Stegostoma tigrinum: one gene and its partner. The protein of the gene in region 2 purifies or fractionates together with the protein of the main gene of each other region. This does not show direct contact. Links are inferred from orthologs where the notes say so. Each region holds a gene or a part of one and is shown on either strand. Other genes may lie near its edges.

What was found. The genes of interacting proteins can lie anywhere in the genome.
Region 1: the proteins of e2f6 (region 2) and mgaa purify together in Homo sapiens (affinity purification with mass spectrometry; 3 studies listed by BioGRID and IntAct, counting the BioPlex papers as one, with this or other methods). This does not show direct contact. The link is inferred for Stegostoma tigrinum from reciprocal best matches to the Homo sapiens genes E2F6 and MGA.

The regions. Positions count from the first base shown.
Region 1 is NC_081363.1:79,772,921-79,781,004, reverse strand, and holds the start of mgaa (MAX dimerization protein MGA a), read right to left. Parts: upstream 3,095-8,084; 5' UTR 2,087-3,094; intron 1-2,086. UniProt on the Homo sapiens protein: Functions as a dual-specificity transcription factor, regulating the expression of both MAX-network and T-box family target genes. Functions as a repressor or an activator.
Region 2 is NC_081357.1:114,882,853-114,890,145, forward strand, and holds the start of e2f6 (transcription factor E2F6), read left to right. Parts: upstream 1-4,224; 5' UTR 4,225-4,413; coding exon 4,414-4,459; intron 4,460-6,287; coding exon 6,288-6,492; intron 6,493-7,293. UniProt on the Homo sapiens protein: Inhibitor of E2F-dependent transcription. Binds DNA cooperatively with DP proteins through the E2 recognition site, 5'-TTTC[CG]CGC-3'. Has a preference for the 5'-TTTCCCGC-3' E2F recognition site.

The DNA of each region.
Region 1 (8,084 bases), on a different chromosome or scaffold from region 2:
TGCTGGATCTTGGCCCACTGGTACAGTCCTACCAGACCATGGGGTTGCTCTCTCATTACAAGCAGAGAAGTGGTGATAGTTTAACCCTAGGGTTACCAAACCTCAGGTGAGGGGAGTGGTTGTGAAGAAGAGACTTTCATTGTAATCTAAACAACTGCAGAAAATGAACCAAGACTCTAGCATCCATCACCAGCATTCAGCCAGAGCTAACTCATCCCCCTAACCTATATCCCTTTGTAGGGTCCTTATATCCTCTTTACAACTCACTTCCCTAAATAACTGTGCCATCAACAAACTCCAATACCATACCTTTGAACCCATCATCCAAATCATTGAATAAGTGTAATCGGTTGATGCTTAAGCACTGAACACTGTGACACACCACTTGTTCTAAAAAACATCCACTTACTCCTACTGTTTGCTTACTGTTAGCAAGCCAATCCTCTATCCATGCCAAGTATGTTACCTTTTACACCATGAAGTTTCATTTTCCATAATAACCTTTGATGTGGCATCTCAAATGTTTTCTGGAAATCCAAATCAGTACATCCACTGATCTCCTTTGTCTTTAGCATGTGTTACCTCTTTTAAAAAATTTCAATAAATTTAGTTAAATATGATTTCCCTTTGACATGACGATGTTGGCTCTGCTTGATTACCCTGAACTTTATTTGGGCCCATTCTACAATCTTTAATAACAGCTTCTGAGATTTGGCACATGACAGTTAAGCTAAATGACTTGTCATTTCCTGCTTTCTGCCTCTCTGCCTAGATAATAAAAGGAGTTACATTAGCTACTTTCCAATCTAAAGGAACCTTCCCTGAATCTATTCGATTTTGAAAAATTAAAATCAATATATCAAGTATTTCAAATCCCAGTAAAGAGGCCAGAACATCCTCCATCCCAAAACTGTGAAAATCAATTACCAGGACATTTCATTTCCTAAAGCCCTGGTTATCAGAGACCAGAACATTCCATGCCACCAAAACCTTGGGGATTAGAGGTCTGATGATCTGATATCAAAACCTATGGTTCACTAACCAGAACATCTTACACCCCAAAACCCAGAGATTCTACACCACAAAACCCTAGGGATGAAATACCTGAATATCCCACAATCCAAATCCGTTTGGATCAGAGGCCAGAACAACTTGAAGCCCTGAACTGCCTAACGCCAAACATGGGAATCAGAGCTCATGACACCTCTGCTGCCAACCATGGGCATTACAGCCTAGGTCACACCCCCCCAATCTTGGGGTCAGTGGATCGACCTCCTCCAATTTAACAGTCATGGAGGTTGGGTAAACCCCATCTCGTTCTTTTCCTCAAAAGGGGCGCATAACTGACCGTGTTAATTCGGGAATATTCTCTTCAACTCCCTTCGCTGTAGCGCCTGTTCCTTTCAATCATAAGGTGAGCAAACACTCCAACTTAAAGACAGGAATGCGGGCAAGCGGAGTTTAGTCAACTGCAAAAGAGACGGGGGAAGAGAGAGAAATCCGTCCCCAAAACAGAAACAAACCAACAAACCCGCCGCCAATAGCAGCCTGCCCAGGACTGTGTACATTGGGAATTTGAGGCTGTCCTGGGGCTGTTGTGAGCCCGGGCCTGGGTGGATCCATTCCACACGTGTCGAGATTGGAAGATGCTGCTGATCGCATTCGTCCTAGAGAACCGCCTCAGCTCAGATCGCGGGCTTCACACTTTAAGCCCAGCTCCCCTCGGCCCCCTCCCAGAGCACTTCAATCCCGCGGTACACAGGATCTCCCCGATCAAACAACAAGCCTCTCGATTTACAGGTACAAACCACGCTGCTTTAACAACAAAAAAGAAATCGGCAGGAAATGCAAACTCCCGCCATGCCTTTACAAGCAAAAGCGCACGGGAGGCATCAACAACAACAAAAAGGGTTTTTATTGTCTGGCGCTTCTCTCCGGATGAAATCGCCAGTGGGAAAACAAGCGGTCCGGCTCCTCCTCCCGGGCGATGTTGACACCGGAAAGCTGAACACGTTCCGTACCATTTAAACATTCGGGAGTTGAAAAAGCAAGGCGTTGCTGAGGTTTAAAAGTCAGACCTTCTTACCCATTTCGCGTGAGAGAGAAAGGCCGGTGCTCAGCTCTGCGTCCTGCAAGCCCAGTTCCAACGTGCCGCTCTCCCCCGCTCCGGTGGAAGATCCTGGAGCACCGGGCGAGACGGGTACAAAATAAAATAAATCCTCTCCCGCCGATGGCACTTCACTACCTCCGCTGTACTGGCTGAGCCTCGATGTTTACCCAGCTCCCCCCCCCCGCCGCCAAAAAAACTTGACTGCTTGCAGCCTGTGGGCTTTCAGAGTGGAGTCGAGGCCAGGGACAATCCACCCCTTCGATGTCACCTACTTTACCCTGCCCTCTCAATTACCCTGGAAGAAAAGAGACTCGTCCCGTGAAAGAGGAGGTGCATGAGGGATACCCCTCATGCCGAGCCTGCCCTTTCCAGGACTCCGATGGAAGCGCGGCTGCCACTGAGGTGCTAATTTCTGCAGCTCCTCCCTGATGGCCGACTTCCTGCCCTCTCAGTACCCCAACCCCGCACGCTTCTCCCCTTTTTCTGATCTCACGCTTGCCTTACACTGCCCTCTGCCTCGGGGAGGCTGCCCGGACCTGATCTCGCCGCCCCCAAGCACTTCCCTGCTCTCAACCCCCCCTCCCTCTCCGTCGTCCGGCTGCTGCAGCTGGCGGCACCGCCGCCGCCTCCTTGTGGCACGCTGTCACGTGCTCGGGGCCTGCCTTATTTTTCTCCCCTTACGGCCCACCCGCCCGTCGACCGTTGCACCTCGGGAAGGTGGAGGAGTCGGGCGGGAGAGGCCGCGCGCGTGCGGCGAAGAAACGAAAATCTCCGGCGCGCGCCCAACTCACGCCCTCCGTGGGCTCAGCCTGCACCCCGCGCACCCCGGCTTCTTCACCTCCTTCGCGCACGACACCGCGCCGAGAGCGAAACTGAAGCGGGTTTGGTTGGAGGGAGAAAAATACTAATCGCAACCACCCCCTCAATCTGTGTTATGTTTTCTCATCGCTCTCTCCTCCCCCTCCCCCAAAACCCCTACACTGTCACGACTGTCCCGTTGACACGACCACCCCCTCCCACACCACCAGTGACTTATGTTTCTTCCGCTCCAACACATAGCCCTGCGTGTGACCTAACGGCTCGACACATGCGTGCGCACTGACGTTTGCGGCGGTACCGCGCGTGCGCCGTGGGCCGTTTGGGTGGCGGCGGCTCCTGCGCCTGTACCTGCGCCGACGTTTTCCCCCTTCCCCTTGCGACGCCCCGCAGCATTCACGCCGGCACGCATGCGCGGCCCGGGATGGGCCCGAAGCCCTCACGGCCCATGAGGCGCGTGCGCGGAGGTGGGGTTGTTTGGGGGTTGACGCTGGATTTGGGGCGAACCTCGCTGCCTCGAGGACGGAGGAGGCGTAAAGGGATTGCTGGGTCCTTGTGCGCATGTGTACCTCCCTAGGTCTAAATGTAGCAATCCCGGAGGATTCTGCAACAGGTTAACGCTGCAGCGGCACGGAGACCCATGGTGATGGGGGATGCAAGTCATTTCACCTCCCCTCCCCAGCAGATAGACCGGCTGTTGGTGGGGGAAGAGCGTTTTGTACCAGGGTCGGAAGCACTTGCGCTGGAACAATCCTGGCAGCGTTGCCACAAACCTATTGCAGCTCTTCACGCTGCTTATTCACCAGGCAGCAAAACGGCAGACCGCGCCCAGCACCTACACACAAGTCACCTCCATGCATATAGTGGTTCGTGTGTGCATGTGCACCTTCGTTTGCCAAACGTTGTTCTTCCATCTTGAAAATAATAAAGTACACCACTCCTTTGCGATCGCTATTCCGCCGTCACGTTGGGATGTGTCGGCGGTCCGTCAAAGGCGTCATGGACCGTGAATGTTTTTTTTGAGATGCCCGTGTGTGATTAAACGAGATGATGTTGATCCTGGGTTTTATCTTGCCCGCCTAAAGTCATTTAACCTTTCTTGAAGATATTTCCACGGCACAAACCTACGTTTGCATTCTGACTTTTTATCAGTTGGCAGTTATAGTGAAAAGTAACAATACGAAGAAGGCCGATCAGCTCCATATTCCATCAATTTTGCGCAGACATGTTGATTTAGCCGTGGCTATAAAATTCTCAATCTTCGCCCATGGCGATATATTTGGGTTTAGGGAATCTATTATAGATCTCAAAACGTACACAAACATACATATTTCAATCATTGAATAAGTTATAGTTTTGTAACATATTCTAAATGAATATAACAGGAAAGCAAATGTTTGTCGAGTTTACCCATAAAAAAGGTAAGAGTAAGAAAGGTTAGATGCAACTCTAAGGCTTTGATCTGAAGACACCAGAGTACAATGTACCATTTTGGGTTTCTTATCTCGGAAACAATGCAGTGTCCTTGCCTTACACTACCACCATTCTGTCATGACAGGGTTGCCATATGAGGCATAGTAGTTCTCTTTTTGCAGTCCCTCAGGGTTGAGGATAACATCCTTGCACTTGGGGGCGGTATATGCGTTGGTTGAATCGTCCAATCCTGGAGCTGCAGACTCTGCCATAGCGGACCAGGTGCTGTTTGAGAAGGTATGTAGATGGGAGCGATCAGGTATCTGTAACAATTTCTCTGCCCTCCTGGTGTTCACTTACCACTGTGGAGCTAGGAGTAGAACGCTTGTTTAGGGTGTCTTATATCTGGGCATACAGACAATATTGCTTGCTCATCGCAGCAGTGCCTTAACACTAGGGTTGTGAGGGAGAACACCCACTTTAGTTCACTTATCCTGCCAGTGGATTTGCAGGATTTTGCAAAGGCAGCCCTGGTGAGAACTTCAGGCTGAACATTGTCCATGTTTTCGGTACATACAGGAGGGTGGGGTCCACAGCTGCTCCGTTGACCATGAACTTTGTGCTGGGTTTCAGGTCTCGAACTTTGAACACTCTGTTCCTCAGGCATCCAAAAGCTGTACTGGTGCATTGGAGCCAATGTTCAATTTTACTGTCAATGTCATAGCTCACAGTAAGAAAAGGATACCGAGATATGGGAAATGAGCCATATTGTCACCATGGGTTTGCTGGTCAGAGGCCCTGTTGTGTGGCGGGAGCAGGCTTGTAGAGAACCTTTGTTTTCTGGATATTTACTATAAGGCCTAGTCTCTTGAATGCCTCGGTGAATATGATGGTGTTGGTTCACAGCATGGCCTCCAATGTGCACAAACACAAGCGTGATCTACATACTGTAACTCGATTAACTTGATGACAGAGATTGGGGTGGTCTTGGTTCTGGCCTGCAGGCAATGAAGGTTGAACAATTTCCTGTTTGTGCTGTAGGTTAGCCCCACTCTGACGGGCAGCTTCATAGAGATGGAGACCAGCAGTGGTGTGTTGATGCTGCCCTACTTGATCCCTGTTTGCACATGTATTAAATCTGTGGTGGATCCATTTTTAAGGGTTACAGCTTGCAAATCATTCTGAAGCAGACGGAGAACGGTGACGGATTTCCACAGGTGGCCGAGCTTGAAGAGGATATCCCTCACCATTGTCAGAGATTTGTGCTGATTGAAGAAGGCCGTGTACAGCACTTGGTGCTGTTCCCTAAACTTTTCCTGGATTTGTCATGTACTGAGAATTGTTTCCATTGTCCCTTTTGATGGGTGGAGGCTGCATTGAGTCTCGGGAAGGAGATTTTCAGCCACTGGCAGAAAGTGGTTGAGGAGGATTCATGCAATGACCTTCCTCATGGCAGACAGTAGATATATCCCTCTGTAATTTCCACGCTTGGACCTGTCTCCTTTCTGGAAAATGATCACAATTATGACATCTCTGAGATCCTCCAGATGCTTTCCCTCCTCCTTGACCAGGACGATGAGGTCAAGAGTACCTCCCAGCCATATTTTAGCATAATCGTGTGATGAGAAAGTTGTCCTATGAGTAGCAGTAGACTGAGCTTTGATTCTGGTGAGTTTAGGAACAGGAGAGGTTTTCTTACTGCAATATATATACATTTTTAGAGGGCCTCTCAGTTGACACATAGTTGTTTACCCAGCGGAAAGAATTAAAGGCCTAAGTCTCAGGATGAGGGATTGACTATTTAGAGATTTGAAGAAGAATGAATTCTTTATTCATGATTGTGAATCTTTGGAGTTTTCTACTACAGGGACTCTGGATGCTCAGTTATTGAATATATTCAAGACTGAAACTGACATTACTCAGCATGAAGAGAGTCAGGGACATTGGGTTAGGACAGGAAGGTGGAGCTAATGTAAAAGTTCAGTTATGATCTTATTGAATAGTAGATCAGATTCTAAGATCTATGTGGCATTGTTGTTATTTCACATGTTCTTAAAACCTCAAATCATGTAATTAGTTTCCATTCTATAAGTTACTTCTAGTGTAATGGAACCTCTGGCAGAAGTTTGTAATGGTGAAGAAGGGTTACTTAGACTAAGGTACAGTGAAGTGTCAATGATGCACCTATGTGTGAGATCCAAACCAGGTCTAGAGAGTGTTGTCTCACCTTTGCTCTCTATCTCGAAAGAAGACCTCAGACAGCTTCAGCTGACAAACATGGGCACCAGGAGACTGTGCCATTCCTACAACAGCCACTAGCTAATGGATGAGTCCAAACTGGCTTGACAACAGTGTGAGGTGTTGGAAAAGAATCAGGGAGGAGGCTGGAGTCCTCTATCGGATGGATCATTGTCAAGGAGAGGTGAAACAACTCGTCAAGCATTGTTGGCACATTACGGTTACTGATGTCGACTGTTTTAATTGTGCGAATTGTACTTTGGTCAAACCTGGGAAACAAATTTGCCCAGCAAGCCATCTCTGGTCTCAAGAAATCTCTAGAAGTGCTTTCAATAGAATTTGTGGTCCTTCACTCCAGTTGATAGGACTGAGTGTGTTCTCATATTCACAGAAAACTCCGGGAAGTTCACACATGACCAATAGGTGTCAATTATAGCCGGAATGTTAGTAGGTGATTTCAGTATTTGACGTCAGATTCACAGTGACTGGAGCACAGCTTGAACAGCAAGATCCTCTGGTTGCTTTGCAATGTCTGTGGCATAGCCAAGAGCTGCACCACCCATCCGCCCACCCCACTCCTTCATCCAGTGGGTAAAGGACAATGTAAATGATTCAACTTTTATCTGATGATTGTCTATACACCTTGCCTCCTTGCTTCCTTCAAATCCCTAAATCATCAATCCCACATTCTGAGACTTAGGCCTTTAATTCTTGATTCTTTCAGCTGGGTAAACAACTTTGTGTCAATTGAGAGGGCCCCTAAGAATGAAAGTGGCCTGAAAGCCCTCTGGAGCTGATTTATGCTTATAAAACCCCACACTCACTCACAGGCTGTTCTCCATGCTGCTTCTTCTTTGAATGAGGTCCAGTCTTTCTTGTGGGCCATCTCCTTGGGCTCCCCACACCTTCCGATGGGGATGGTCAGGTGGATAGCCAAGCATCACATGAGGCTGAGCCAGACATTCGAGATGGTATCCAAGAGGACTGAGAAGAAAAACATCGAACAATTGCAAGGTTGACAGGACTGAACTTCCAATCTGTGCAAGCATATTCCTTCAGAATTGGAAAGCCGGGGTGTGAATAACATAAAGAATGTCTGGAACCCTGAACCCTGCAGAATCATCAATTGCTTGGACACAGGTAGCCACAGCTATGTTGTTGAACTGATAGCTGGAGGCAGCCTGAGAAAATGGCTCACAGAGGACGGTTGCTTGAGACTAGGTGTCGGGGTAGATGATGTGGAGGAAACAGCTCACTCAGGGGAAAAGTGAAACCTTAACTGTTGATGCATGATGGCTTGAGTGGAGTTGGAATCCTGGTGTGTCCTGTGTGTTATGAATCCAGGGGCTACGCCCGCATTGTTAAGTCTATCTTGGAAGAGGGGGAAGGGATGCCCTTTCTGGAGGCAAAAGTTGAAGCAACGTGCACCACACAACTCCTGAGAACTGACCGACTTAGTACGTCTGTAGTTACAGGGACAGCAAGTGACTTCTAGTGTAATGGAACC
Region 2 (7,293 bases):
TATTTATTCCAGTTCCCTCTCCCCATCCCCCTCTCTGGCGAAGGGTCTAGGCCCGAAATGTCAGCTTTTGTGCTCCTAAGATGCTGCTTGGCCTGCTGTGTTCATCCAGCTCCACACTTTGTTATCTCGGGTTCCCCAGCATCTGCAGTTCCCATTATCTCTGAATCTAATAGAGCCTGGTTTGTTGTTGCCAAACAGAAAGACTAGTAGGTCATTCAACAACTTGGATCAGTTTCAGAATTCCGTTCACCTGACTTGACTCCATATCATTTTATACTGTTGTCTGGTAAAAACCCATTATCTCCAATTTAACTATTAATAAAGGATCAAATACCACATTTCTAACACCCTACCAGGTAGAAATGCTTTCTAATTTCTCTTGCGAATACCCAGCTCCAATTTTGGGATTATGTCCTTACCCACCAAGGGGAATGATTCTCTGTGTCTATGTCCTTCATTCATTCCAAAATCATTAAAATATGAATGCACTCACTGCCTTGACCTAATATATTCTTGGGAATACAAGTCTAGTCTATCTAAGCATCCTTCATAATTTAACCCTTGGAGCCCTGACAAGACACTGCTGAATCTGCACAATTCTGTGTCCTCTAATTGTTAAGCCTTCAGTCATTAGAAAAAGTTTCCCCATTATTAACTCTTTGTAAAGTCTTCATTTTAAACGTCTTTCTGAAGCTAAATTCTTTCCGAGGTATGACGTTAAGAATTGTACATGGTACTCCAGATGTGGTCCAACCAAGGCTTTGCAGAGATACAGTTCAACTTTTGCTCTTTTATATCCTACAGCTCTAGCTTTAAAATATAACATTTGAATTTTTTTGTCCTTGCTGACCCTAATTTATTGATGTGTGTATATAGGTCTCTTTGGACCTCCACTGTTCCTAGTTAATCATCACTTTAGCAATATTCAGATCCATTATTTTCAGTTGGTTTAAGATGGAAGCCCTTGCCCTTGCTTGTGCTGAAATCCAAAACATCAATATTTATTTTCCTGAGTTTCCTGGTCTCTAATTCCTTGTCCACAGTAAAAACTGATGATAAATACTTGTTTCGTATCTCTTCCATCTCCTGTGGTTCCATGCATAGACAACCTTGTTGATCTTAAAGGGGCCCTTTTCTCTCCCTTGTTGTTCTTTTGCTGTGAATTTATTTGCAGAATCTCTTTGGACTATCTTCAGCCTTATCTGTCAAGGCTATCTCATATTCCCTTAATGCCCTCCTAATTTTCCTCTTAAGAATGCCCCTACAACCCTTACACTGTTCTAGAGATTCACTTGATCTCAATTGTCTATATCTAATATATGACGCCTTCCTAAACATGACTTGAGCCAAATATCTTTAATCATCCATGGTTCCATACTCTTACCATCCTAACTCTTCACTCTGAAAGGAACATAATGCCCCTGAAATAACAAGGTGTAGAGATGGATGAACACAGCAAGCCAAGCAGTATCAGAGGAGCAGGAAGGCTGACGTTTCGGCCATAGACCCTTCTCTTATTATCTCAGATTCTCCCAGCATCTGCAGTTCCTACTATCTCTGAAACAATAATGCCTCTGAATTCTTGTTATCTCACTTTTGAAAGCCTCCCATTTGTCAGTCATCCCTTTACCTGTGAACAGTCTACTCGAATCAATTCTTGAAAATTCCTGTCTCATACCATCAAAATTTGCTTTATTCCAATTAATAACTTTAATTTTTATAAAAGGCCAATCCTTTTCCATAACTATTTGAAAACAATTAAAACTGTGATCACTGGTCCCAAAGTACTCCCCTAGTAACACTTCAGTCACTTGCTCTGCCTTATTTCCCAACAGAAGGTCATGTTTTGCTCCTTCTCTAGTAGGTACATACACATCAATAAAGAAAATTTTCTTCAATACATGTAACAAATCCCTCATCATCTAAGTCCTAACAGTGAATACACTCCACCCCTTAATTATTGCATACCTTATTACTGCTTCATTTCTATTCTGACCCTCTGCTCTTGGGATGGCATCCTCTTCTACAGTGCCTAGTTTAGGACATTCCTGCCAGCAATGTTCACTTTAGCCTCACAGTGTCAACTACATTTTCTCTGAGATAATGGGAACTGCAGATGCTGGAGAATCCAAGATAATAAAGTGTGAAGCTGGATGAACACAGCAGGCCAAGCAGCTTCTCAGGAGCACAAAAGCTGACGTTTTGGGCCTCGACCCTTCATCAGAGAGGGGGATGGGGAGAGGGATCTGGAATAAATAGGGAGAGAGGGGGAGGCGGACCGAAGATGGAGAGAAAAGAAGATAGGTGGAGTGGAGAGTATAGGTGGGGAGGTAGGGAGGGGATAGGTGAGTCCAGGGAAGACGGACAGGTCAAGGAAGTGGGATGAGGTTAGTAGGTAGGAAATGGAGGTGCGGCGTGGGGTGGGAGGAAGGGATGGGTGAGAGGAAGAACAGGTTAGGGAGGCAGAGACAGGCTGGGCTGGTTTTGGGATGCAGTGGGGGGAGAGGTCTAGGCCCGAAACGTCAGCTTTTGTGGTCCTGAGATGCTGCTTGGCCTGCTGTGTTCGTCCAGCTTCACACTTTATTATCTTACATTTTATCTGTTGTGCAAGACTTCCTCTTCTTCTATCTAAACTAGGTTCACCTTACTCTACTGGCTGGCACTTTTCTGAGACGTGGCTACACTCTATGGAAAACTAGCCAGAACCTCCCTTCCTCTCTTGTCAGAATTTCTGCTGGAGTCTCTCAATACAGATGTGACAGAGGAATCCCACTGCCCACAAATTCCCACATATCAGTCCTGACACGTGGCCATGTCAAGCTTTTATTTACTTGCTAGTAATAATTTAGTTCTAGATAGAATTGCTTGACTTCGATTGTAGAAAAGATTAATTCAGCTTGATTTCAAGTCATTTTTGTTTTTATTGATTTCTTTTTTTTTGTTTTCTAACAATTTATTATTTATTATTTAAGGAGACGAGATTTTAAATATGCAATTCGGATCTCTAAATTTAAAATGCTTAATTAGTTGCAGATTGGCCCCCTCTGAGCTGACTGCAATGTAAAGTTAGCGCTCCCTGAAGATCACTGCCAGTATAACAGCTCCAAGAGCAACTTTTTCTGCTGTAATAAAACGAGAGAACAGCAGAGAGCAGTAACGTCGAAACATTTAAACAGGTTTAAACAGGCTAAAAATGTGTTATTTTATTCAGAAATACCCATCCTTTTACACGTGTTACAAAATTATTATGATCATTCGGAATTGTCAATTCAACAAAGTGTGAATTAGAGCAATAAAAATCAGAGCTAATGAAAATACAGGTGGGAATGGAGTTTAAGTCCTAGACTTTGGTGTGTATTTTCTAATGGTCCTATTATGCATCATATTGAATATAAGCTCTATATTTAGTGCAGTTGAAGTGTTGAAGTAATGATAATTTTAATAAGAGAATGAAAAATGCCAAAAGTAATTTTAAGAAAAGACTATGTTTCAATGTATTATCAGAGTTGATGAAAATATAGATGGGAGCAGAGTTTAAATCCTAGACTTTGATGTGCACTTTTCTAAGGGTCCTTTTATGCATTCCTATTAATTAAATTAGAGCCAGCATTTAGAGCAGCTGAAGTGTAATAATAATGATAATTTTAAGAAGAGAATGAAAAATGCCAAAAGCAGTTTTGAGAAAAGACTATGTTTCACTGTGTTAACCAGGCTGCACTGCAACGTCTATTCACAGGCGCGATCCGACTACTGATGGGCACGGGGGTTTTGACCTGCTCCGTTTCCGACCTGGGCCGATTCACCCCTCTTTACCCGACCTGGTGAACCCGGATTCCTCCAGGGACACCATATCGATGCCCAACTTAGTGAGGACACCTGATCGGCATAGTCCGCAGCAGCCCAGAACTCCTGGTCTCAAGCAATCCGATAGCCTCAGCCTCCGAGTCGCCGGATTACAGGCGCACGCCACCGCGCCCGGCGAATACTGCTGCTGCTCAAAAGATACTTCAACCCAACGTCACAAAGCCTTGTGTGTGATGTAGGCACGTCATTCATCTGTGGAGGCGGTGCCACGGCCAAGGGCCCGCGTTCTACTCATCCATATTCATAGAGGAGGCGGGTTTTGTAGGTCGGGCGGGAAAGGCGAGCAAAGCTGGCAGCTATCGGCTGGCGCATGCGTCGGAATGCCGCCGGTGGGCGGGTTGGCGCATGCGCCGGGATGCCTTTTGGGCCTGCGTGGCAGCGTGTTGTTGTGTGTGGCGGGGGAATAGCAGGAGAGGAGCAGGGAGGCGACGGGTGGGAAGCGAGGCGGTTTCGTCTCAGAGCAGTTCCGTGTAGGATTGGCAGTACCAGGGGTGGGGGAAGGGGGTGAGACAGTAACAAACATCAGCGCCACCCCCCTAGCCCCCAGCAATGGAGGACGAGAGCAGCTCCCGGGTAACCTCAGCGCCCAGATCCAGTGAGTCTGACTGAGCCCTGGCACCAGGCTCTCATCTGTCTGTTTAACTGTCTTTGTCTATCTCCAAGTTCCCCCCGTCTCTCTCTCTCTCTGACACACACGCACACCCTCCTGTCCCCTCTGTGTTTACATGTAACACTCCCAGTCCTTCCACAGCATCAAGATGGCACTGCTTCTTCCTAGGGCCTCGATCAGCTTCATTAGAGATCATCCGGACAACCTTTTCTGTTTCTTCCCACCCCCACGCGAAAAAGTATCCACCCTTGCCAAACTAAATAAATCCAAATCGTGTTTTTTTTAAAGAAAGACGGATCCACGTGCACGTGTGCAGGACACTGTTTACCAATGTTTACTCCACCGTGTATTCGAATCTGGGCCAGACTAGGTTCCATTGAAATTCATTACAAAGGGAATTAAACGGAAGTCAGGGTATGGGCTAAAGGAATGTATGAATAAATAACACATTTTGTTTGGACGTTTGTCTTCTGCAATGTATTGGGCCTGGACTTGGGACTACACTTCGAAGTTATACTAAGAACAATTACCTCTAGTAATTGTGATTTACTTGAGGCTTAGTTTTAATTCGACTCAGGTCTTTACGATGTTTTAAAAATTTGCTAGGTTGTCAAAATGTAATGTATTCCACTTAACTTAATTGTCAGGAATTTTATGCCTGAATTTATTTCATTTGCATGCATGCAAATTATTTTCTAGAATGCACACTAAACAAATTACAATGCCTGCTGCTAACTTTATATGTCATTTCCAGCACTGTTTAATGGCCTATCAGAAACACATTTAGCACAATACAATATACTTTTGGCAGTAGATGAGAAAGGATGTCCTAAATGTTAAGTTGTAACAAACTGTTGAAATGATCATTTACACTTTCATTGTTTAGTCCAAGCGATGGTTTTTATGTTGATTCCTGTCCAAACCACACATTCATTTCCTGACCCAGTACCAGTGCAGGTGTCCCATGAAAATGGAATACATTCTACCGTGTCAATGCAGATTGTTTTATTTTAGAAGACCAAAATACGAAAGGACTTAAAGCTGTCATCACAAGTACATATATGGCCCCAGGAAGCCGCTGTGAAGTGATAGATTCCCACACCCTTTAATTACCTGTTCACCAACTCAATCTGCTCATTTGTTTCTAATCTATTAGGCTAATTTTGCATGTGGTTCATGTGTTAGGTTAGATTATTGCCTTCACAACAATGTTTTATTTTAGCATATAGTTCCTGGTACTTACTCGCAGAACAAAGTTCTGAAATCCGTTCACTGCACTGATTCTAATAGCTTGTGCATTTCTGGTTTCAGTCACATTACTTTTGACTACGTAAACCTGTAATTTTGTGGCATAACCTTTCAACCTTAGTGCCTCTGTCCTCTTAAAATGCTCCATAAAACCTGTTTCTCTGACCAAGCTTCTAGTTAACTGCCCTAATATTTCCTTAAGTGACTCATCAAATTTGCTTTAACTACATACATTTGACACTCTTTGGGACATTTTGCTTTGCTAAAATTTAGGGTTAGGAAATAAATGAAAATTGCAAATTGTTATACTGTCTGCCAAAGTGTAAAATTACTAAAATAAACATGTATAAAACAAACATCTTAGTTCCACAATATTAACATGCGATTTCTAAATGGCATTTTTGGAGTAGGTTTTATGAGAATTGACAATACAATTCTCTATTTTTCTATTAGTCATACATCCATTACACATTTCAGTTGCATTTTTATCAAATTTTATTTCAATAATACCAGCATTTCTGTTTTTAAGATTGAAAGTTAATGTTGTTTTCCTGTTTTGTAACAGCAAAAAAGCCACGTTTTGATGTGTCCCTAGTGCATCTAACGCAACAGTTTATGGAACTTGTGAAGGAGGCACCTGATGGCGTCCTTGACATGAATGATATTGCAAAGATGCTTGGGGTGCGAAAGCGAAGGGTTTACGATATCACCAATGTACTTGATGGGATTCGTCTTGTGAGAAAAAAATCAAAAAATTTAATTGAATGGATGTAAGTCATTTTTACACTTCCTGTAAATTGATTTATTTTATAAAATTCACTGGTATTCATTCAGGCATATCTCTACATGATTTTGTGTTCATTATAAAGGTGGGCTCAAGAGCATGATATGTGATTCTCAAAATAATTTTCGATGAAAATTGAATTTATTTTTACTTTGACGTGAATGCAGCTTTCAAGTGGAATCCCATAGTTATCAGTGAAATTGTATTGTAAATATTTTTGCATGCTCTGAATCCAGATTTGAATTCAGGCTAGGCTGGTGAGATGCAAGTTTCATTTTCTGTCCTGTACCCACTGCTGCTGAAGTCCACAAAAATGTAATTTGGGCCATCCATTAGAATTCTTAATTTGTATGTCTGCAATACAGATTACTAAAGTATTGCCTTTTTACTTTAAAATAATTCTTATTTTCCAGTCCAGTCCCTCCACAGCCTGGTTCCTTGTTACCTCTGTGACCACCTACACTGCCCAGCCATCCAAAGATGTCTGTACTCCTCTAGTTCTGTCCTCTCAAATTTAGTTGCTCTGTCATTAGACAAGCTTTCAGCTGCTTATAATAACAAAATGAAATATTCACAAAACATGTTTGCAGCTCGAAGGTTGAATTGCAGTGCAACTGCATCGAAATAGTCATATAATGACTATGTAATCAGGTTAATAATGTAATAATCGTATGACAACAAAAGTAAAGAGACAGATTTCAGCAAACAACAGGAATGTATTAAACAGGATATTACAACATAAAATTGAATTTTAAAATTACACTAAAATTAGAAACTAATTTTATTA